2 linked regions of the Kluyveromyces lactis genome follow. The protein of the gene in region 1 binds, or shares a complex with, the protein of each later gene. Links are inferred from orthologs where the notes say so. Each region holds a gene or a part of one and is shown in the gene's direction. Other genes may lie near its edges.

Region 1 (11,194 bases):
TTGCGCAAAGATCTCTTCAAAAAATCTTGTTTGTTGCTAGTCGATGAAGCACAAAATGCTAAATAAAAACTTAATCAGCTAAGGATTCAACGCCAATATTTGAGAGCTATCAATCAATAGCTCGTAGAACCGAACAAAGAAATTGCCTATAGCTTTTGTAAGCTTTTAGAAAACGAATGGTATTCTACAGTTATCTGTAACTGAATTCACTTCTTGTAAACTCATAATACTTCAACAATTAGCAGAGCTTCTTTCAATTGGGCGTTTGTTTTCATTCTCGAATTTAATCTTGTTTTTATTATTGTTTTCATGTTTTTCTCAAATGCACTTTCTGCATTTGCGGAGCGCTTTCACAAAGAGAAAACTATATAGATAAATGATACAATTGCATTTAGCAGACATACATATACACCTATAAAAAGTAGGAAATTGGACGGCAAAAACAAAGTGTGACATCTGGCGTCTGTCGTTTCGAAACAGTATTACTTTTCTTCTGACTTCATGCCACAATGTGTAAAGCCTTAAGAAAACCGAAAAAAAAAACATAAACGGTATAAAAAGTATGAAAACTGATGTTAGATTCCTCGCACGTTGTTTGCTGCAAAGAAAGATCGATAACTGATGCTATCAAGAAAAGATGCGCTGTAGTACGACAGTAATATAATTGGGATTCTCGACAATATTTCTACTGCATTTACATTGGTGTAGTACTTCTATGCGTAGAAAAACTTGAGGATTCAATGAACTCCGTCATGTAAATTCTAATGTATATCGGATACACAGTATCGCATCGAATAAAGCCCTTCTTATCTGCGGTATAAACGAAAAAACGCTGCAGAACCTTTTCTACTGACATTTCAGATCCCGGCTGGAATACAGCTATAACCACGACATGGTTCATTATTATTTACATATTTTTTCGCGTCGCATTGTAACCGGGTAATTAACAGTTTTTCGCTCCCCTCTTTGTGGGTCCATCTCATAGCCCCGTAGTTTCTGCATCTGTTAATAGCATTTTCTGTGATAAAAATAAAAAAACAAAACAAAACGAAACAAAACAAATGTAAGCTAAGACAACCTTCAGCATAACTCTCAACCTGGCTATCGATATTTCATGGAACAACTGTTTCAATTCGTGGACGTTTAACTGAGTTTAATTCTGCCTACCCGGTAATACTATATAATTCCCAGAAGCTTGAAGATATTACAACAGAGGGGAATAGCAAACAACCATCATTTACGCATAAGTGATACAAAAATCATACTTTATATCCTCTGCTAGTTAGCTTATCTTTGGAATTTGTTTACGAAACCGTTGCATTGGAACACTACTACAGATTCACTATTTGATTTAAGACTGTACGTTTATCTATTTCATCAATCGTCATACCCATAGAGTAACAGTACGCGTGTGGTGGGATCCTTATTTCAGGTTTAGTTCAGCACTGTGACTTTCCTTTCTCCTCTCGTTAAAGACAAAAAGAAGCATTCGCTTGGATTCAGATTACACTCTGTATCGTTTTTTGTTTTTCAATTTCAAGATACAGTTTGACTATTGTGTTTATATTTAAACAACTGGACATCTCTCTTTGTTTCATTTGAATTTTTTACATTGCAGCCAACTACGCCTTCATTTCATTTCTCACAACGACATTCGTTTACCGTAACAATAAATCAAGAATATTATTACCAGTGCTACCAGTGTTACCAGATTTCCAGATGAATTCAAGGGACGAGGAAGCCAATTACTTGACAAGTCCTCATATCTACCGGTCAAATGCAGGGCAAGAGCAGCTTGGTACTAAATATGCCTTCAATAGTCCGCAACCAATGCAACACACATTACCAACTCCATACACCCTTAATCAGAACAAACTGGACCATATAAACGCTGTTGAAAGGGATAATTCCGATTTGAATGATTACTCATTGGTTGAAAATAGCATGCTGAATCATCGCAATCACCAGCGTCATCACCAGCACAGCCATCGACCCACCGTTGATCCGAACACTAGCTCCAATGATATCGATGTCAATAGTAGTCAAATATTAACTGATGGTGATAACTCTATCAATGCTGAATTTACTGGTACGACACATAGTTCAACATCACACGACGTTGAAGTGCTTCTGTCATCCTCGAATTCGAGAGCCTCCGCCTCCATTGTTACAGGTTCCAATCAAGGTTCTACCATCCAGACATCAGCAAACTCAACAGAAAGAAATGGGAAGTCATCTATATCTTCATCCTCATCATCATCGTCAGCGGCAGCAACTAGAACAGCAATCACTGGAAATAACATCTCTCAACCAATCTTACCTGATATAAATGAACAACCTTCCTCTGTGTTGCATTTCGGAAATTTTGCAAACGAATTATTGCTTGCGAGTCCTGAACAATTCAAAGAATTTTTGATGGACTCACCAGCAGGTTTAAACTTTTGGCAACAAAGACAAACTCCCGCCAAGACACCTCTTAAATTTGTCACTAATAATACGAATTTAACCCATCAACAAAATAACACAGGATTGATGAATTCCATTCACTCTCCATTGCAAAATATTGATGTAAACCTCATGTTCAATTCTGCTTCCAAGACTTCATTGTCTCCGCCTCGAAAACAGATGTCCTTGACGCCATACGGCAGAAGGATTTTGAATGAAATGGGAACACCGTTTACCAAAATGATGCAACCAATTTCTTCGAACAACAGCGCATTGGTTGACTTTCATCGTGCCCGAAAGCATAACTTACAGTCTACACCTACTTCAAGACCAGCTTTAAGGAATGAAAGCCCTGGATCGAAGCTATATTGCTCATCCCCTACCACCATCCAACTTCATTCGTCAGGTGTCAAATGTTCGCCTGAAAGAGATCCAAACATCGATGAGAAACTATTTCACCTTCGAGCATCACCGACACCTAAACTATCCCTAAATAAAAGTGAGAAGTTCAGACTTGACCCAAGTTTTGAACTACCGAAAATGGGATCCTTCAAAGAAGGGCTCACAATTCCGTCATTAAGAGCACCGGACACTAACAACCAACCAATTAACATTAATAACGCTAATATACATTCCAGTATGGGTACAACACATGACATATCATCTACTTCGGAAAAAGTAAGAAAACCAAAGCTTAACAGAAATGGGAATAAAAACAAATCTAAGACAAATCAATTAATCACAAAACAGAGGTTCCAAATTATAATGACCGATACAACCAGTTTTAATTCGGATGACGGAGTTACTTCGAATAATCAAGCAAAATTAAAGAGATCTCGTTCGGTTATTGTACCTGGAGAAGTTAAGAAAAAGAAGAAAAAGAAGAAAGTCTACGAAACTTCTAATATCATACCTAATTCTCAATAAAAGACAGCATAATCGACAAAAAAAAAAGGGAAATTAAATCAATGTGCTTTCCCCATACTTTCAGCAAGGAACAATGCTTGCACTTTTCCTTATTCATGTTTTATATCTACCTTATCCTTTCGCACGCCTCGCAGCTTTTGACTGAAGGCTTCGTTTTTATATTTTCATATTACTCTTCAATTCTTATGTACATCTCAAAGCATCTATATTAGTTTGTGCCGTTTCGTTTTCTTCCCAATAAAGTTGGTGATAATTCAATAAAAAAAAAAAAAAATTGGTATTCACCATCCAAAATCAGGCTATCTTGTGAACTAACTTACAAGGAGTTCATTGTATGTTGCAAGAACCTGCAATTTATGACTGCTTTGATTACAAAATCCTGCCCAGTAGCCGTGCCTTACGCCCTTCAAAATAAATAATTCCCACTTGAAAAACAAAAGACAAAAAGAAAAACGAACAATAAATATTACAATCCGCCCCCAAATCAATTAAGGAACAGTCGAATAAACTTTAAAATAAAGGGAACCTCAGATAAAGCTATTGCATAGTTTGTCAGCTCCAAATTCATCGTTCAATATGGAAGCTCTTGATCCTCTTAGTCAGGATCCCAGGCCATCTGAGGAACGTGCCATTAAAAACGATCAACCTTACCATTTAAATTATGAATGGAACGACGTCCCATCTACATTCAAAACAATCAATAAGGATGGTCAATACAAACAATTTTCTCCAATTCCTTATATCACTAGTTATATTCCTACATTGAATACGCCTGCTGCTACCGCGGAGCTTATGAAGGAAGAAAGGGAAGTAAATCTACAGAAATTAAGGAATTACTATCATAAGGAAGCATTGGACTCTTTGGCAACACGGAAAGATAGCTATGTCTCTCAAAGTACCAATTCGCCTCAGAGCAGATCTTCAAGACGTAGGACCTCACTATCCCATAGATTCTCATCATGGAACATGGATCGTCTTCCTGAAGAGCAGAAGTCCACAAATTCTTTTAGCATTGACACTACTCAGGAAAATCAGGCCACTGAGGCAGCAAAGGTTTACATTAAGTACCGTCAGAAATTTTCATCGAACTGCGACTCTTTTTCTTCCGGTGAGATATCTGAACGTGAGGAAAATATGTGGGTGCCGATTGCTAGGTGGCAACCAAGCTCTCCGGACATGGAGCCAAAGCTGTACACATCCTATAAAATCAAACTCAACGTTCCTTATTCAGAAACATGTCCAATTACTATTACTAAGCTGTATCCCCCAATTTTTAGTGACACTAGAGTGCCTGCCCTAACATATCATTCCATTGTTAATTTGGATAGCTGTTTGTATATTTTTGGAGGAATGTCACCATCCTATTCTTTCTCCGAAGTTTCCCCGGACTTATCCAGTTTTCACGTAGACGGAATAAAACACCTTCCGCCTCCATTAGACGAAACAATCATTAATAACCCGGCTATGCTTCCAAGTAATAAGTTGTACACATTTTCTTATACGTCAACAAAGTGGACTGAAGTGAATGCCACAGGACAGATCCCTCCCGCTTTAGTTTGTGTCCAGGGCTCTATTTTAACCGACAGGCATATATTCTATTATGGTGGCTTTGAAATAAAACACGAAGTTTCAATTGATCCTAAAACAAACGAATACTACATTAAAAAGCGAGCAATATTGAACGATACTGCATATATATTGGACACTTTGTGCTACAAGTTCACCAAATTACAGCTTGTTGCGCAACCTACAAAATACGTGAAATATCCGAATACAGTCCCCAGATTTGGACATCTACAGGTTTCATTGAAAACACACACCCATAAATCTACCAGAAGTTCAACATCAGGTACTGATTCTCCCCCTTCTTCATTGTCATCCTCAACAGCTGAAAAGAATTCCTCTACTAATACTTTCGAAGACCCTATGATGAATTTTGTATCCTCATCAATGGCATTGAGTTCCGATAATATCATTTCCCCAACCTCATCAAGTTCACCCGGTGTTTACAGCATTTTAATTATGGGTGGTTATAGAGAAGGCGGAGATGGCAAGTTCATACCGATATCCGATTTATGGAAGGTCGAAGTGACCGTCCTATCTCGGGGCAAACGTAACTTTTTGAAGTTTGCTGACACCGCATTAGTGACAATAATATCTAGATTACCACAAAACGCAGTTGATGAAGCATTTCTGAGGGACTATTACAAAAAATGGCCTTTACCTAGAGGTTTTATGGCATCTTATGTCGTAGATACAGACTCTTTGAGTCCGAAATCTATGGACGCAGATCTGTTAGACAGACTAATGCATAATTTCAAAATAGTTGACAATATTAACGATGAACCCGTTGTAAACGAGCCGATGATTCCAGGAAGAACCATGAATTCCAGCACTAGTCCCAAAAGATTAAATAAGTCGCTAATAATACATGGAGGTTCCGCAAATAAGTTTATTCACGGTGATATGTGGTGTTATGATTTAGATGAGGGAACTTGGACAAAACTATCATTGAAAGCCAAGGACAAAGAGACCGGAGAGCTCAAAATAGTTGAATTTCCTCTTACGGGACACACTTTTGTACATAATAAACAGATCACCGTGGTAATTGGAGGATTGAGCCAAAAAGACGTGGATTCTTCTTTATACTGGAAAGACTACAAGTATGACGAAAAACATCAACATCCCATGCATGATACCGATGGAACCTTCACGTTCATCAGTTTACCATCTCGGGTAATTAGAAACTTCGAAGTTGTTAACATCATGAATAGAGCCAGAACAAAATATACGGAAGATATGCCTTTGTCTGCGCTGAGACTATCATGTAATCCCATCGTCTACGATCAAGACTACATATGGACGGTAGGAGGTCTTATAACGGATACGGAAAGCTGTGATGTTTTCCTACGTGGTGCAATATCATTGGTAAACTTACCATTGATTGATATCCCAGGTGTATAATGACGGACTTTTCAACGGAGATATGCTGAAAGTATTTATGACATCCGTACTGTCTGCAAACAGCAGTTCAAATTCGTGAATCGTCAGAGTTGACAGAACGACTACTAGACTATAGCGCTTATTGATATTTAAACTACGAAGCGCGACCCATGCTGTTGTATTCATCACTTCTAATCTTAATGAAAAGACTTGAACAAGATTAAAATACCAGTGACTGTCATATTTGTTTGCACCCGTACATATTCCAAAATCCTCCTCAAATCTGAAGAAAACTAAAGAATTTCCAAATATGGCATCTACACGTCAACATAGTACGCGCCACCACGGACTAGTCTTAAGAAAAATGTTCACGAAAACACCTGGACATTACAGCGAAAGAAAAGGACGCAGTTGTTCTGCCCTCCGCTGTCGTCTGTTGATTCTGAAATATCTTAAGTGTTGAACGTATATAGTGCGCTAAACCTTAAAGTTATTTTTCACGGTGAATGGTGGAAGCTTTATATTTTGAATTCCCATGATTTAAGCTAATATGTTGAAGAGTATTGAATAAAACGTTTCGGATGGTCTTCTTATTAGTTTAGTATGTTTTTAGTTTTATGTTATTCTAAAGTCTTCACGGAGCAGTACCACTGTCGAAGAAGTCAATACTTTAGAAAATTTTATCAAATTAGAAATGTCTGACGTTGAAGAAGTCCAACAAGTCCCAGTCGCTGAATTGACCATCGAAGATGCCCTAAAGGTCGTCTTGAGAACCTCTTTGGTTCACGATGGTTTGGCCAGAGGTTTGAGAGAATCTGCCAAGGCTTTGACCAGAGGTGAAGGTCAACTAGCTGTTTTGGTTGAATCGGTTACTGAAGAAGCCATCAGCAAGTTGGTCCAAGGTTTGGCCACTGAAAACAACGTTCCATTAATCAAGGTTGCTGATGCCAAGCAATTAGGTGAATGGGCCGGTTTGGGTAAGATCGACCGTGACGGTAACGCCAGAAAGGTCGTCGGTGCTTCCGTTGTTGTTGTTAAGAACTGGGGTGCTGACACCCAAGAAAGAGAAATTCTTTTGGAACATTTCAGCCAACAATAAATGAGTGGATTTTGAATCTATGTTCAAATCCAATTTAACGCTTCTGTTTTACTCATTTTTCTCATACTCAACAATAACATAAACAGATTTCTTCATGGGAATATGGACATTGTTTGGTTTGATAAAATGCTCTATTTTATAGTTTGTATATATATTCTAGGGTATCTATATGTTTACAAATAGTTTCCATCTATACCTAAAATGACGTTAATTCCAACCTGATTAATTCAGCTTGTCGAAGCAGGGTTGCGCTAGAAGAATAGCGGCAAATCTTGCGAAGCAGCTTCATACCCGTCACTATTTTCCTCTTCTTTATCGTCATGTGCAGTTTTCTTCGGCGGTTGTTGTGTATTGGGAAGGAAATTATGGCGCGATTCACTTCCCATATATTCAATCATCATTACTTTTATCTCATTTACGTCTGGAAGCTCTGGAAGAGCTTTCTCAAGCATGCATATCTCAATAATTATCCCAGGATAATGACTTGGTAGATTGTTACCTGAAATGGCTCTAGTCCTCTTATACTCCTGGTCATTAGGTCTTAGTATATCCTTCGTTTCATTCAATATATTAACAGTCATCAAACCATGTACATCTCTACGTATCATGATTTTTGAAGCAATCCGAGCACTGGCTCGTATTTTGTCTAGCATTCCATAATCAAAAACACTTATCATTGGATGATCATATAAGAGGGTGGTTGAATCATTTGCGTATATTTCGAACTTCTCTAAAATCGATCTCTCATTAGGTAATATGATCTTAGATAAACCTTGTTGAGATCTTGAAATCAATGCGAATAAGGGCTTTTTGGTGGTTTCGTTATGTATCGCATAAAAATAGCAATCTTTGCATCCAATTTCCTTCAAATCGTGTAAGGCATTGTGTAAGACATCCCCTTTTATTATGCATTCGAATTGCAGTCGCGTTCTATCTAGTACCAACCCAGTGTTGTCTAAGTCTTTGAGCAGATATGTTGAGTATTCGACGCTTTCAGTGATCATGTTATCTTCGAATATTAATATGAATGGGGATCCATCCCCATTATATGTTAAAGTACACTCAATTATATCGTTCCGATCGTTACTGATATTCAAACTATCCAATACATGGTCAAGCCGCAGGGATACCTTGGTCAAAGATGTTTCAGTTATCGGGCTATAGTGAAAGGTTTGAAATAACTCCCGTGAAAGAACCAATTGGATCTTGATTACATGATTGTTTTCTTGGGCAAAGGACAAACCATTTTTATCTATGGTGATGAGCATTTCACCTTTCACTCCAAAAGGTGTTAAACAATTCAAAGCCGTCACAATATGATCCAAATGGACAGTCGTCGCATAAAAAATAGGAGAATCTATCATTGTGGGTTGCCGAAAGATTAAGGGTTCAAGATGTTGACGGTTCTCTGGTTTCTACTTATTTATGTATTGTACATACTGATATATTGTTTATAAAAACAAGTGAAATGGAATCAAAATCATAAATAGAAACCTCATTGCCATTATATGCGAGGAGATAAGGAAACCACCAATTGGCTAAACAAGTCCCTTATGAAGCAAGCCCGGCAAAAGAAGCTTTCGATTATAGCTGTTGGGGTATTATCGACAGTGGCAGTAACTGTAGGTTATTTATTATATCTGTATCGTGGCCAGCGAAACCCGAATATAAGAGACGTAAAACCAAAGTCGAAATGTTACGTTCTTACACAAGACTTGTTCGATAAGATCGAAAATTGGCAAGAAGAACTATCAAAAGACAGCGTAATGTTAGTTTTACCAGAAGTTGCCCACTTAGGAAATCATTTAAAGTTACAGCTATCGTCTATTGAACATAAGATTGTCATCTTTAACAATTCATCGGCCGTTTGGAGTGCAGTTAGGCATTTAAAGAAATACGAGTTGGTAATAAGTCGTGATAAGACTTCTGATATGCCAGTAGATCTCAGGAGGTATGTGGGACAGATTTCGCACATTTGAAATCTGAAATTTACATCAGTTTTAATGTATGCTATTATAATAGTACTATAATGTTTACATCGTAAACTTATCTCTAACAGAACTTCTGGCTGAATGAAATGGTTAGAAATCTACCATATTGAAATTTGCTATTGAACTGCAATGCATACTATGCTTGATGTTCGTGATTGTGTATTCTACAAATAAAGAGTACTCGGCTATAACAACAACATGCAAGCTGAAGGACTTTATTAAACAATCAAGTACTGTAAAAGCAGAAAGCCGACATACGCATTGTATCACCCGAAGAAGGTTACTAGATTTCTCACATCCTTACTCCTGCCTCAACATGCACTGGAATCAATATAAAAAAAAACAGCATTCCTTAACAGAATGGCCTCAATGATATAATATTAGGAACTGTCTTAGAGACAGGATGGTATAGCACAGCATAGGGCCGAAATAAAATGTTATCGCCAATTTCAAAACTGATCTTCATTACCTCTTTATTTTGGCGCTTATATAATTGATCCTAAGGACCAAAGGATAGTGCAGTGAAGTGTAGCAAGACAATGTTCTTTTGAGGAAATAATTGGACTGACAGTTATTAACTGATATTTCAGCAACTTAAAAGAAAGAGTGGCTTGTTAATGCTATTTGATATGCAGGATCAACAAAGCCATAGTAATAGCTTCCACGATAACACAAGAAATTTCTGCTTATGTGTCTTTGGAGCTATTTATGGATTGTGAAAGGCTCTATTCGTACTCGTCCACATAGCGATGCCCCATTTTCAAATATACAATATTTCCATAAAATGACGTTCTAGAAATGTGGATATATGCAGTTGAAAAGAACAGAGCTTTGGGTAAATTTGTAGAAATTGACGAACGATTTACAGAATGATAGTTGCTCCATCCCAAAATTATACACTCCTACTAAAGGTAACTCATAGTGGGTAGATAAATCTTTTGTTTTCAAAATCGGTAAGATCTAGCATGGCTAGATTAACTCTTTCGTTGACTCCTTCTGTGAAAGAAACAATACCAAAGTTGTCTTCTGGATGTTCTTGAACCCATTGATACCTTTCTTTGTTCCTTTTCGCCAAAATGTATCTGATTGTTAACAAAATAACAATATTAAGGAAGAATGAAACCACAATTTGAATAATCCAGGATGGATAGTATCTTGGGGCATCCTTTGGATTCCAGAGTTGAGGAGAAATGATGTTTGCAGCGCCATATGCCAACATAAACATTACGTTCCTGTAGAGTTTCTTGGTATAACCGGCTGCAGATGATGTCGTCCATCCCAAAGCAATAATGTATGTGATACCCTTTGAGGAGCCGGCTAAGATCATACAGGCTAACAACGCATATTTGTTGGACCAATCTATTGTAACCATCGCAATACTGGACGCAATTGGTAGAATCAGACAACCGGCTGCAATATAACCACTTTGATTTGGATAGTTGAGGATAACAAAAGCGAATATCAAGTACAGTAGAATGTCCCAAACACTCCCAGCCGCAGAAACCAATGAAGATCCTAGGTTGTCGACACCGATATCAACATACAATTGGTTCTGTTGGTATGTCAATGAATTTGACAGCATAAGAGTAAAACTTTGGAAAAAGAACAACCATGAAACTGGATCTTTGAATGTTTCATAAATTTGATATTTTTTGATTGTCTTCTGTTCAATTGATGATTCCGTTGACCGTTGCACTTGCTTTATAAGATAGACTTTTTCTTTTGTTGACAGAAACTTTGCGTTAGCAGGGTTATCAGGGTAGAGGAGTAAGACAATTATGGCAAGTAT
Region 2 (11,338 bases), about 2.4 Mb from region 1:
CTGGTAGATTTCATCTAAGTAATGTAACACACTTATGGGAGAAACACTATTATTCACTTGCATTATCATAGCGAAATATAGGTTATCACGAGTTATCACAGCGTAATGCCACCCATTGCCTTCGAATATAGGTTTTGTGCATCCCTTATGATGTTTAAGGTTATTCTGTAATTGAAGTATAGCATCATCAAGGAAATGGATCGGTCGTAGTGCTCTTCTTATTAGCGGTTCATACGTCTCATCGAGCAAAAGGAAACATGATGACATTATGACAAGGCTGATTTGACCATCAGTTGATAGTTAACTCGGCACTCTAAATTTACTTCAGGTCTCGGTTAGGTTTGCAGTTACTATATATGCTAGAATAAATGGCTTTGAAGGTGTTTGTTCAAAGCACTTTTGATAAAATGGTGCTTCTTGTGTTTTGTTTCTTCTCAATATTTTTAGTTAATAAAGATTTCTTACATCTTGGAATTCTATCAACTACGCATAGAGAGATGCTGGAAAAGGTAATAAATGCCACTCTTCAAGCACTGAATAGTATAGACATGTACAATAAGATAGTAAAACAGGTACCAGTGCTGTTGCCACCAAAACTTCTGACACAAGAACTCAGAAAATTGCCTAAATGGAGATTAATGGAGAATGAATTGGTTAGAGATTATAAGTTCAGAGATTTTGAAGAGACATGGAGTTTTTTGAACAAAGTTGCCATGAGGTCACACTTATGGGGCCATCATCCTACAATTACTACTACCTACAACAGAGTTCAGTTCAGACTCACTACGCATGATGTATCTGGTATTTCCGATGCTGATATCATGATGGCTTCTCGGATTGAAAAATACATCAAACAAATCGATCCCAAGAAGGGCATCCTAATAGGGGATAAATAGAATGTATTAAATAAATAAATAATAGTGTACTTCTGTTTTGCATAATACCTTGCAAATACATGCTGTCATGATTCATTCCTTGCTTAGTCTTAGTTATGCCTGTACGTTTCTTTCATTGCTAGAAAGAAGTGACATACTGGGCAATTGCAATCATCTCTTACTGCTCTCCAGCTTCTTCTCAAGTTTTTCGAACTCCGCAAGTGCAATCTTCTCCTCAGGATCCAAGATCTGAACCACGTCCTCTACTTCTTCGATGTAATGCTTTAACATAGCTTCAATACCATGCTTCAAGGTATCCTCACTGGACGAACATGACTTACATGCACCTTGTAACTTCAAATAAACTGTCCCTGTCTCCGGATTCCATCCACGGTACTGGATATCACCACCGTCGTCCATAATAGCAGGTCTGATCCTTGTCTGAATCAATTCATCGATCATCTCGCTGATCTCTTGCTCATCTTCATCGTATTCAAATTTAGGAATGTCCACATCGTACCCAACTTCGGAAGACTTTTTCACGTCGAAGAAATCTGGTAAAAACGTGGGCTTCCCACTGGCTAAATGTTGTACCAATAGATCTATCACCGTAGGAGTCACTTGGTTCCAATGAATCAGTTCATCTTTATTTATAGTGACGAAATCATCACCGATCATCATTGCTTCAACACCAGGACATTGCTGGAACACTTTAGATGGGAATGGAGCATGTTTCAAAAGCTCCTCATCAGTGTTCTTGATCTCAACACTCTGTGTGCCTTTCTCCTGTAGCAGCCCCCCATCTGTGGAAACAAATTTCAATGCATTCTCATTAGGCGTTGTAAGTGTCTTGATATGAATAGACCTCTGCCATACGGGATTCAACACCGTTCGATGTACGCTCTTATAAAACTTGGGACCAAAACTAAACCTTCCTAACATCCTCGCAGTTTACAATCCGTTGTCTTGCAACTTCTCATCCTTTCTCTATATATGCACAAACCACTTGTTAATCATCTTAGCATAAGATGAGTGCTTTGTAATACTAGAGGAAATTCCTTTAATTCGAAATCTCTTGAAAATTACGTTTTTTCAGATAATTTATGGATTGAACATTTTAGAGAAATGAGAAAATAAAAGGTCCCTTTTACAAGAAATGACCCACTAGATATCGTAACAGAACAAAATTTAATGGAAGGCAGCAAAATATACTGAGACGGTTTCCGACTGTACAAGAACAAGGTTTTTCTTTCCAATTGTGTGCTATTTATTCTTATCCAGTGGTAGCTTGTGAATTGTGGACCCTACTTTATATCCGAGGCTGTGTGATTCTTAAAGAGACGAAATAAAACTAATTGCCGATCTTTTCTTGAGAGTCTAGGAAAAAGGAGAGAATAAAGGCCTATAATTAGCTTTTGATAGACAATACGATGAATTTCAAATTGAATTGGGTCACTTTGTTTTGTACGGCCCTTTGGTTGCATTTTGCGACGGCCAATAAGGGTACTATCACAGAGAAGCAGAATCAAATCTGCAGTGGTATGTATTCTAAAGAGGATTGGAGTGGTCGTGTAGATCCATATATTTCGTTCGATTTAAAGAAATTGAACAAAGAAGGCATCTCTGTGGTGATCTTTGATTTCCAAGATTACATCCACATTGGGGCTAAGACGAAAGCGGGTGTAGTTAAGTATATCTGTGACGAAGAAGCGATAAAAGAGAATCTATGTCAAGAAAAGAACAAGAACCAGTTTATCATTTCACCTGAAGCGTATGATCCAGATAGTGATACCGAAAAGTCATTAAGTGCCGACATTCATACGTTCTATGTGGGAAATACAGGTCTTGTGAAGGACAAATATGCCATTAAGAAAACTGGTTACTATTGTGTTGGTACTTACGCTAAGGACACTGGGATCTCTTACAAGGCTGAGGTAAATTTCAGGAATAGTTTTGGTAATCTAGCTGCTTCTGAAATTAACAAATTGCCATTGTATGGGTTATTGGCAATCTTTTATGTTGTCGCTATGGCCTTGTACTTATTTGCCTTCTGGAAACACAAGCATGAACTATTGCCCTTGCAAAAATATTTACTGGCTGCATTTGTGTTTTTAACCATTGATACAATCTTCATTTGGGGTTACTATGACTTGAAGAACACTAAGGGTTCGACCGCTGGTACCACTGTTTACATGGTCATTGTTTCAATCTTGAACTCTGCAAAGATCACCATGTCTCTATTCTTACTTCTTGTTATTTGCAAAGGTTACGGTGTGGTTTACCCTAAATTGAACAAGACCACGATGAGACGTGTTCAATTTTTCTCCGTACTTACGTTTGCTATATCTGTCGCTGCCCTTATTCAAAACTATATGACTCCTTCAGATTCGACATCCATGGTCCCATTGTTTTTCTTTATCCCATTAGGCATCTGTTTCATGATTTTCTACTTCTTGATTCTACAATCCCTCGATCAAACTGTCAAATACTTGAAGCAACAAAAGCAAATCGTTAAATTGGGCATGTACAAAAAATTGATAATTATTTTTTATGTCGCCTTATTCGTTATTTTTGGTGGTATAATTCTATCCTCTTTTGTTTTAATCGGTATGAGTAGTATCGAGATGGTCGAACAACATTGGAGAACTAGATTCTTCTTTGTGGATTTCTGGCCATCCTTGGTATATTATGCCGTATTCGTTGCTCTTTCCTTCACATGGAGACCTACATCTACTTCTTATATGTTAGCTGTGTCGCAACAATTGCCAACAGATCCAGAAAATGTTGCAGATTTCGATCTAGACGATTTGCAATCTTTGGAACAAGAATGGAACCAAGAGTACGAACAACCAGCCGGATCTGAACCAAATGAAGCAGACCTAAATTTCTCAGATGATGAAAACGATAAGAAAAAGCCGGTGCAACCATCAGCCTGAAGGAATTATTTTCCCAAGGCTATTTTATCCAAATTTATCAGGGAAACAATGTGCCACCAAAAATAAATTACTTTTCTAGATGATCGTCAGAAGTTGCCACTGAACTGATAATTTATTCTTCATAAGGGCGTTTCTTCTTTATGTTGAATTCATAGTATAAGTGCGTGTGTATAGTCAAGCAGCGTCTAATTATATTCGTAAATAAAAAAATGCAATATGTCAACACATCGATACAAAAATCTACTCCGTTTATTCTTTTCAGTTCTTAACGTCACTTTTAAAAATCAAAATTATGAAACATTTATAAATATAAACTAGAATCATGACATTCAAGATAGGATATGGCAAAGTTGGAGCCAACTGTTCTAATTGCTTGAGCCTTTCAAAAAACTGTGCCATCACTGTGTAAATTGATCGGTGGCCCAGATGTTTTTGATCTAAGTTCTGCGGCAATTTCTCTTCCAGCTTTCCAGGTTCCAGCTTCTATCAACTGTGACAATTGTAAATTAGAACCTAATTTATCGTTTACTAATGGTAACAAGATGTCCAAGAGCCCAATGGTAAGACATCTCCATTCTACAATTACACCATCATCGGGCGTGAATGTTGGGATTGACGGATCATATCCATACTTCTTCGAATTAGTCAATCCAATGTTCAAATATTCTTCTTTCAAAGATAGTACACCCAAATCGTAGAACAACCCCCCGTTTCTGTACTCTGGTAGACCTGTTTGCAAGTCCTTGGAAGATATATTGAACTTGTAGCCAAATTCCTCTAGTGGTCTCAATAATGAATAACATAACCACTGCGTCAATTTATGAAATGACACGATAATTTCATCGTTTTCGGTTTTATACACCCAGCAATCGCCTAAAGGTTCACCGTTCAGAGTTAATCTTCCAGTAGGCCATATAGAGGTATATCCAGTCATTAGAACCTCCCACAACTGTTGCAAATCAATGTTTTCAGAGCCATTTAATTTGTAAAGGTGATCAATTATATTACCAGGCCTGGCATCTTCACCGAATAACTCAGGTCTTTCAGAAAGGGATTTCCCTAAACTTCTGATCAACTGAATTCTACCTTCGTAACCTTGCAAAGAGTTCTTACTACTTATCTGAAACCCTTTATCAAAATCTTGTTGACTGAAGTCTTTCAATCTAGAACCTTGTACTGTCTGAGATTTATCATGCGATAAGGCACCATCTTTGAACATATAGAAAGAGGCCACCGCTAGTCCTTCTGATCTGTTAATCTTAGTTTCTTTCTCAACAAAAGACCATTCTGAACCTGCACCAGCATCGACAATCACACTAAACGTTATCAAATCAATCAACCGTCTGCATACCTCCAAAGGATCGATGTTCTGGGCAGCCCAGGAATTAATGAGAGATCCCATTCTATCAATACCGTTACAGTTTAAATGTTGCCATCTTCCATGAACAGGAATATCGCCTAGGTTCTTGTAATCTCTTTCAATAATATTGACCAAGTAATCTGTCACTTTCGACATTTTACCCAGATCCACTTCAAAATGTGTACTGTCACCATTTTCTGTTTGCAAAGGGGGGCCGTATACTTTCTTACAAGTTTCCCTAACGGATTGAATGGATCTTAAGTACTCCAAGTCTTCGCATTCTGTGTGTGTCATGATAAATAGCCAGTATGTTGGTTTTTGACAGTTTCAACGGGAGATAATATACAATGCCATCAGAATTAGTTTAAGCGAAGTATCAACTGGGATAGAACTATTTCATTCACTAATGAGTGTATTTATATACTTCGTGGATGGTACACATACATTATCCTTAATTCAATCCTAAGTGTATTGGAACGTTAGTTTGCACAAAAAAGGCATTCTTATCTTTTGCAATTGACCTGTTTCGTTATTCTGGCAACGATTGATCCTTAATGTTCAAGAATCTCCGTCGCACCTCCGACGGATATTACCGGGGACTGCTCATTCTTTATACACCCGTACATATATGCCATGGGATTCTACTTTTTTGATATAATCATCCTCTCTTTCCTAAAACAGAATACTATATGAAAATTTCATGATGTTCTATGATGTCGACAAGCTAGTGCTCCGAAGTTGAAATTCTAAGCTCTCCAAGATAGATGAGCATTAGCATGGTATTGTTAAGGTTACTTACAATTAGATATTAAGTCTATTCATGTCATAAGAAACCAATAAAACTAAAAGGTATACACGATGTCTCAAGTTGAAAAGAAATCTGAACAACAACAAGAAGTTGTGATCCACAAGATCAGAATTAACTTGACCTCCACTAAGGTCAAGCAATTGGAAAACGTTTCTGCCAACATCATCAAGAATGCTGAAACTTTCAAGTTGGTCAAGAAGGGTCCAGTCAGATTACCTACTAAGGTCTTGAAGATCTCCACCAGAAAGACCCCTAACGGTGAAGGTTCTAAGACTTGGGATACTTACGAAATGAGAATCCACAAGAGATACATCGACTTGGAAGCTCCAGCTCACATCGTCAAGAGAATCACCCAAATCACCATTGAACCTGGTGTGGATGTCGAAGTCATCATCGCTGCCTAAACGCACCGATAATGATGTATTGTCAATATCAAATTGGCATTCAATGAATAACGGGCAGGAAACTAAAGTGTTGACCAGATTTACTGCACATCCTTTGAGTTTTCTACCGACATACCTTGAATTCAAATTTTTTTATTTTACTTTTATTCGATATCCAGGTCTCAAGAAAGCTCTTGTATCCTCATTCTCTAAGATTATAGTAAGACTCCTATAAAGTATGGTCAATTGTGTTCAATATAGGATGGAACCTTTTTCTGACACTTCAAAAAATGACAACCCACTCTAGGTAGGGTAGTTTATCGTGTACCTCTATTCTACTATCAGTGGTTAAAAAATAATCATATCCTCTACCAACATCTCACTCATATTTGTTTGGTTACTGTCTGGTTTATTGGTTGCTTGAATGAGTAACTTTTTTGTTGTCATGTGTTAGTGCCCTCCATCCTTTGTGTATAATTCGTACATATTTTTTTAATGGAATATGATTTTAATCATGGGACTTCAAAGCAAGGCATTCAAGCTGACAACTCGAAGCAGAGACTTCTGCAAATGGCCTTTCTTCCACATCACTTTGTAACCCTAATTCATGTAAGAATTTCATGAACGCCAGTTTGGATGTGTTTTTTTTTTTCTTTTCGAATTTTTTTTTTTTGAAGTTTTCTTTCAAATGTATAAGAACTCGAACACATTGATGCAACTTGATACTTGACAAAGATCGATTAAAAATACCATTCAGATTAAATGCGGATCGTTTCCATACTCGAAGCATTCGGTAATCGAATTTAAACCACTAAGATCAAGTTACTTAGGTGCTTCAGCAGAAGCATCGTGTACTTCCGCTAGGAAAGACATTGAAGATAGAGGAGAGGGCTTCTCCATAATTAGTTTAATGATGAGAAAATGTCCTTAGTGACAATGCTATAAACCCAGCTCTTCGATCATTAGAAATGAGAAGAGATACCTGTCAAACGCTCTGATAATCACTAGTAATACAATGGAAAACGAAAACAATGCCTTTACTTTATTCTTTATACATGTCGGATCTTTACAAAGCTTATATTCTTGCAGTATGTACGCCTTTGAGTCTATTATCTTGTGTTGCTATGGGTATAGCCTCTATTATTTTTTACCACTAGTAGCTTTGAAGTGGATTATATCACCGTCTTCGACCACATATTGTTTACCGCCTCTTTTGATCTTCCCTTGAGACTTCAATTGCGACTCTTGAAGCGGAGGATCCATTTTTTTGATATCATCGAATTTTATAATGTTAGCACTGATAAATGTCTTTTCTAAATCACTATGGATAGTTCCAGCAGCTTCTGGTGCCAACGTTCCTTTCCTAATGGTCCATTGACGAGCCTCAATTGGTCCACAGGTGTAAAAACTGATCAATTGCAATAACTCTCTCATTTTGATGATAATATTTGGGAGTGCTGTCAGAGGTACTTCCAACTTCTCTTTACCGATGATCTCTTTGCAAAAAGCCTCAAATTCTTGGAGATTGTTGTCCAATTCGTTGTACTTCGTTTCAAGTTCAGCACTAAACAGCATCACTTCGTCTCCAGGCGCATATTCTTGGATCCAATCCTTGATTTTCTTCAAGAATTTGTTTTCTTGCAAAAGATAATCTTTGGGAGCAACGTTAAGTAGAACCAGGGTTGGTTTAGCTGTTAGAAAGTTGTGTTTATTCAGGATTTTAATCTCTTCCTCTGTCCAGTTCTGCTTGAAGTGTGACAATTTTCTTCCCTCGTACATATGGGCCTCTAATTCCTCTAGCAATCTCAGTTCAAGATGCATTTCTAAGAATTCTGGAGAGTTTTTCGGAGATCTGTTTATCTTTTTGTTAATTCTTTCTCTTGCACCTTCCAGCCATTCGAGATCTTTCAGCACCAGTTCATCTTGCACTAATGACAAGTCTCTAACTGGATCCACATTTCCTTCAATATGAGTAATTTCATCATTTTCAAATCCTCGAACCACTTGGTATATTCCGTCTACGTGCCGAATATCATTAAGGAACTTGTTTCCCAAACCTTCCCCACTTGATGCTCCTCTTGTTAATCCAGCAATATCGAAAATGGAAAGTGTAGCTGGAATTTTCTTCTGACTCTCATAGAGTTTATGAAGATGGTCCAATTTAAAGCTGGGTACAATAACCTTGGACTCTTCGGGTTCTATAGTGGCAAAAGGGTAGTTAGCTGGATTACCCAATTTCGACTTGGTTATTGCCTGGAAAAACGTTGATTTACCTACATTGGCCAATCCAACGATGCCTGAAGCTAGATTATTTGAAGGTCGTCCCAGTACGGTATAAAACCGTTTTATAGATTGGTGAATTAGATGCATGTATGTTGGCACAAGGCAATACCTTGCATTGAGGTCAGTTGATTGAAATTTAAGTATTATGAACTATTTCAAGATTTGATTACTCAATGTATCTTATATTGACAGAATCTGAAAAAAAAAAACAAATGATGGGATGAGATGTGAAATCGAACTTCTACAATAAGACAATACGAACCAACTATTGATAGTAAAACTACAGATCATGCAACGAGTTATAATGCTCTCCGAGCGTATACGAATGTTTGTAGTATACGATCTTGAGTTCGGGATTCTTCGCGTCTTCATTTATCCTGTAAGTGGATCTTCCTGACATCAAAATGCTAATGGTACTGTTAAAAACTTTTGATAGTGCCAAAATTTCTACTTCTCCACCCCATTGGGCTGTAGTTTCCATAGTTTTTGTATACTCATCAAGATCCTTTACGGTCATTGTATTTTCATCGAAAAGATATGGGATGAAATCGTCACGGTTCTCCCTAATGAATGATGATGAAAGCGATCTCAACGAATAGACGTCCATTTCAGACACGTACTTGGTACCTGTATATTCCTCTGGAAAGTTATAATCATACTCAATGTCATTATTAGTCTGATGGCGGAGCCTCAGTTGATCTAGAATACTATTAAACAAACAGTGTCCATCCGGCTGGATATCGAATTGTTTCAAATTTAGCACTACACAAACTTTATCCAAAGAGTTTTGCTCAATATCTTTCAAGTTCGGCTGCTCGGCTGCCTCTTCCATTGCCTGTTGTTTAATTCTTGCAACCTCTGCATCCCTTTTTGCCAATCGCTCCTTTTGTCTATTCCTACGTTTCTTTCCCTGTAACTCTGGTTCTCGCTGTTGCAACTCATCGGTTTTACAAACAGATTGCACAGGATCTTGATCTAAGGACAATTGAGCTAATAATTGAGCTGGTGTGATTTCTTCCGAATCAGAATGCTCAAAAGCAACACCGTTCAACTTTGCGAGCTCTGATTTATGTCGAGTATCAAGTTCCTGTTCTAAGTCTGTACATTTGGCATTTACTTGCTTCCTCGTCTTCTTTGATGCTTGCTTCTTCAAAGAAGTAATCTGATTGGTCAAATCTTTACGTTCCTTGCGATGACGCGCAAGCAGCTCCTCTTGTGCAGTTTCAGTAGACATTCACTTATTCTTGAGAGATTGCTTCAGAGAGGAGTTCCTTTATATAACAATAAAAATTGTTAGTATGCTGAAGATGAGATGAGCCTATTCATCTCACTTCTTCATTTTCAGGTTTTTTTGGTTTTCAGTTTCGCAGACCAGAAAGAGAGATGACGGCAGGATTAGCTACGAATAAAAAAAAAATCAAAAAATAGCGCCGCTCGGTTTCGATCCGAGGACATCAGGGTTATGAGCCCTGCGCGCTTCCACTGCGCCACGGCGCTGTCAAAGATGAAGTTTTAGTTTTTCCAACGACCAGATCACATCTGCGACAACTCCAGGCAGCTCCGGAATCATTTTCTTCGTCCCGTGCCCCCGCTGTTGAAATGACTTACCCCACATAAAGTTTCAAAAAAAATGAAAAATCCGGGAGCGTGTTAGGGAATTAACGACAGACCCTGAAGGAAAGTGAGTAAACGCTTCAAAGAGCGGCTTGAACATGTTATATTCCGGTCTACCCCGGAGAAAGATGTTTCACGCGCTGAACAGGAGAAGGTCATTGTATATATTCCTACTTTTTTCTGTTGCCTCTCTACTTTCTGGTGCTATTTGTAAGAGTTTTTTTTGTTTTTCATCTTTCCGCCGGATTGGTTAATTTCCCCGGAGATTCCATTTCTCCGGCCTTGAAACTGCCGTACAAACCATTGGCTCCTTTCGAAAATGGTGGAATCCACTTCCCGAAAATGACCGAGCTGACAAGAAACTGCCCAACTGAAGCTCGAGGGATTCGAACCGTTTAAGCTTCACTGACGTCCGACTATCTACTTTGACAAAAAAAATAAGGACCTTCTTCCATACTCTTATTTGACACCAAACACTTACGTAGTTATGGTTCGCTACAGTTAACACAGGAACATACAATTATAGCAGAGATCGTAATATTTGGAAAGTAGAAAAATGAACTTGTCATTGTTCTGCGCTGGCAGTTCCGATTACCTTGGGTAATTGTGCCAGTTTAGTTCTGTTCATCTTTACATGAAGCCTTTCTAGATGCCTTCGTATCCTGTCTTCTTCTCTGTGTATATTCTGAGTATATTATCGTAACCGTATGCGACAAAACGTAATTGAACTGGCAACTGACTGTAGATCAGTAGTGGGAAACGCAATGTACTGCCGGTGCTCTGATTAATTCCCCTCAGTTACTCTGTGTCGCCTAAGAAAATGTCCTTAAGCTTTTTCCTTTCTTTCATAATCTCCTATATAGTCCGGGAATCATATAGAGAAACAGGAAAAAAAAAACGAAGAAACATCGATGCAGTCCCACATAAAAGTCCAATTTTGGGCCAAAAAAAAAGTATGAACAGTGGAAAACAGCACAATCATTGGAATTAATACGATCCCAATTCAGGAATTAAAGAAGGATTTGCTTTGTTTCTGTGAAATCAGGTATTCTCCGTGATTTGGCCCTTTTCCAATTACT

The links.
Region 2: RPS12 (region 1) and RPS20 share a complex: the UniProt entries of both Saccharomyces cerevisiae proteins name them as parts of the small ribosomal subunit. The link is inferred for Kluyveromyces lactis from reciprocal best matches to the Saccharomyces cerevisiae genes RPS12 and RPS20.

Annotation. Positions count from the first base shown.
Region 1 is NC_006042.1:15,266-26,459, reverse strand, and holds RPS12 (40S ribosomal protein eS12), read left to right. Parts: upstream 1-7,009; coding exon 7,010-7,414; downstream 7,415-11,194. Other genes in the region: NDD1 (Ndd1p), read left to right, coding at 1,720-3,372; GPB1 (Gpb1p), read left to right, coding at 3,949-6,336; RAD17 (Rad17p), read right to left, coding at 7,666-8,778; ubiquitin-protein transferase activating protein PEX22, read left to right, coding at 8,923-9,393; KLLA0_F00286g (uncharacterized protein), read right to left, coding at 10,322-11,194. UniProt on the Saccharomyces cerevisiae protein: Component of the ribosome, a large ribonucleoprotein complex responsible for the synthesis of proteins in the cell.
Region 2 is NC_006042.1:2,366,691-2,378,028, forward strand, and holds RPS20 (40S ribosomal protein uS10), read left to right. Parts: upstream 1-6,029; coding exon 6,030-6,383; downstream 6,384-11,338. Other genes in the region: APM2 (Apm2p), read right to left, coding at 1-267; MCO14 (4a-hydroxytetrahydrobiopterin dehydratase), read left to right, coding at 369-896; NFU1 (Nfu1p), read right to left, coding at 1,047-1,817; KLLA0_F25498g (uncharacterized protein), read left to right, coding at 2,306-3,811; KLLA0_F25520g (URC4/urg3 family protein), read right to left, coding at 4,194-5,465; YLF2 (Ylf2p), read right to left, coding at 7,503-8,732; deubiquitinase OTU2, read right to left, coding at 8,926-9,879. UniProt on the Saccharomyces cerevisiae protein: Component of the ribosome, a large ribonucleoprotein complex responsible for the synthesis of proteins in the cell.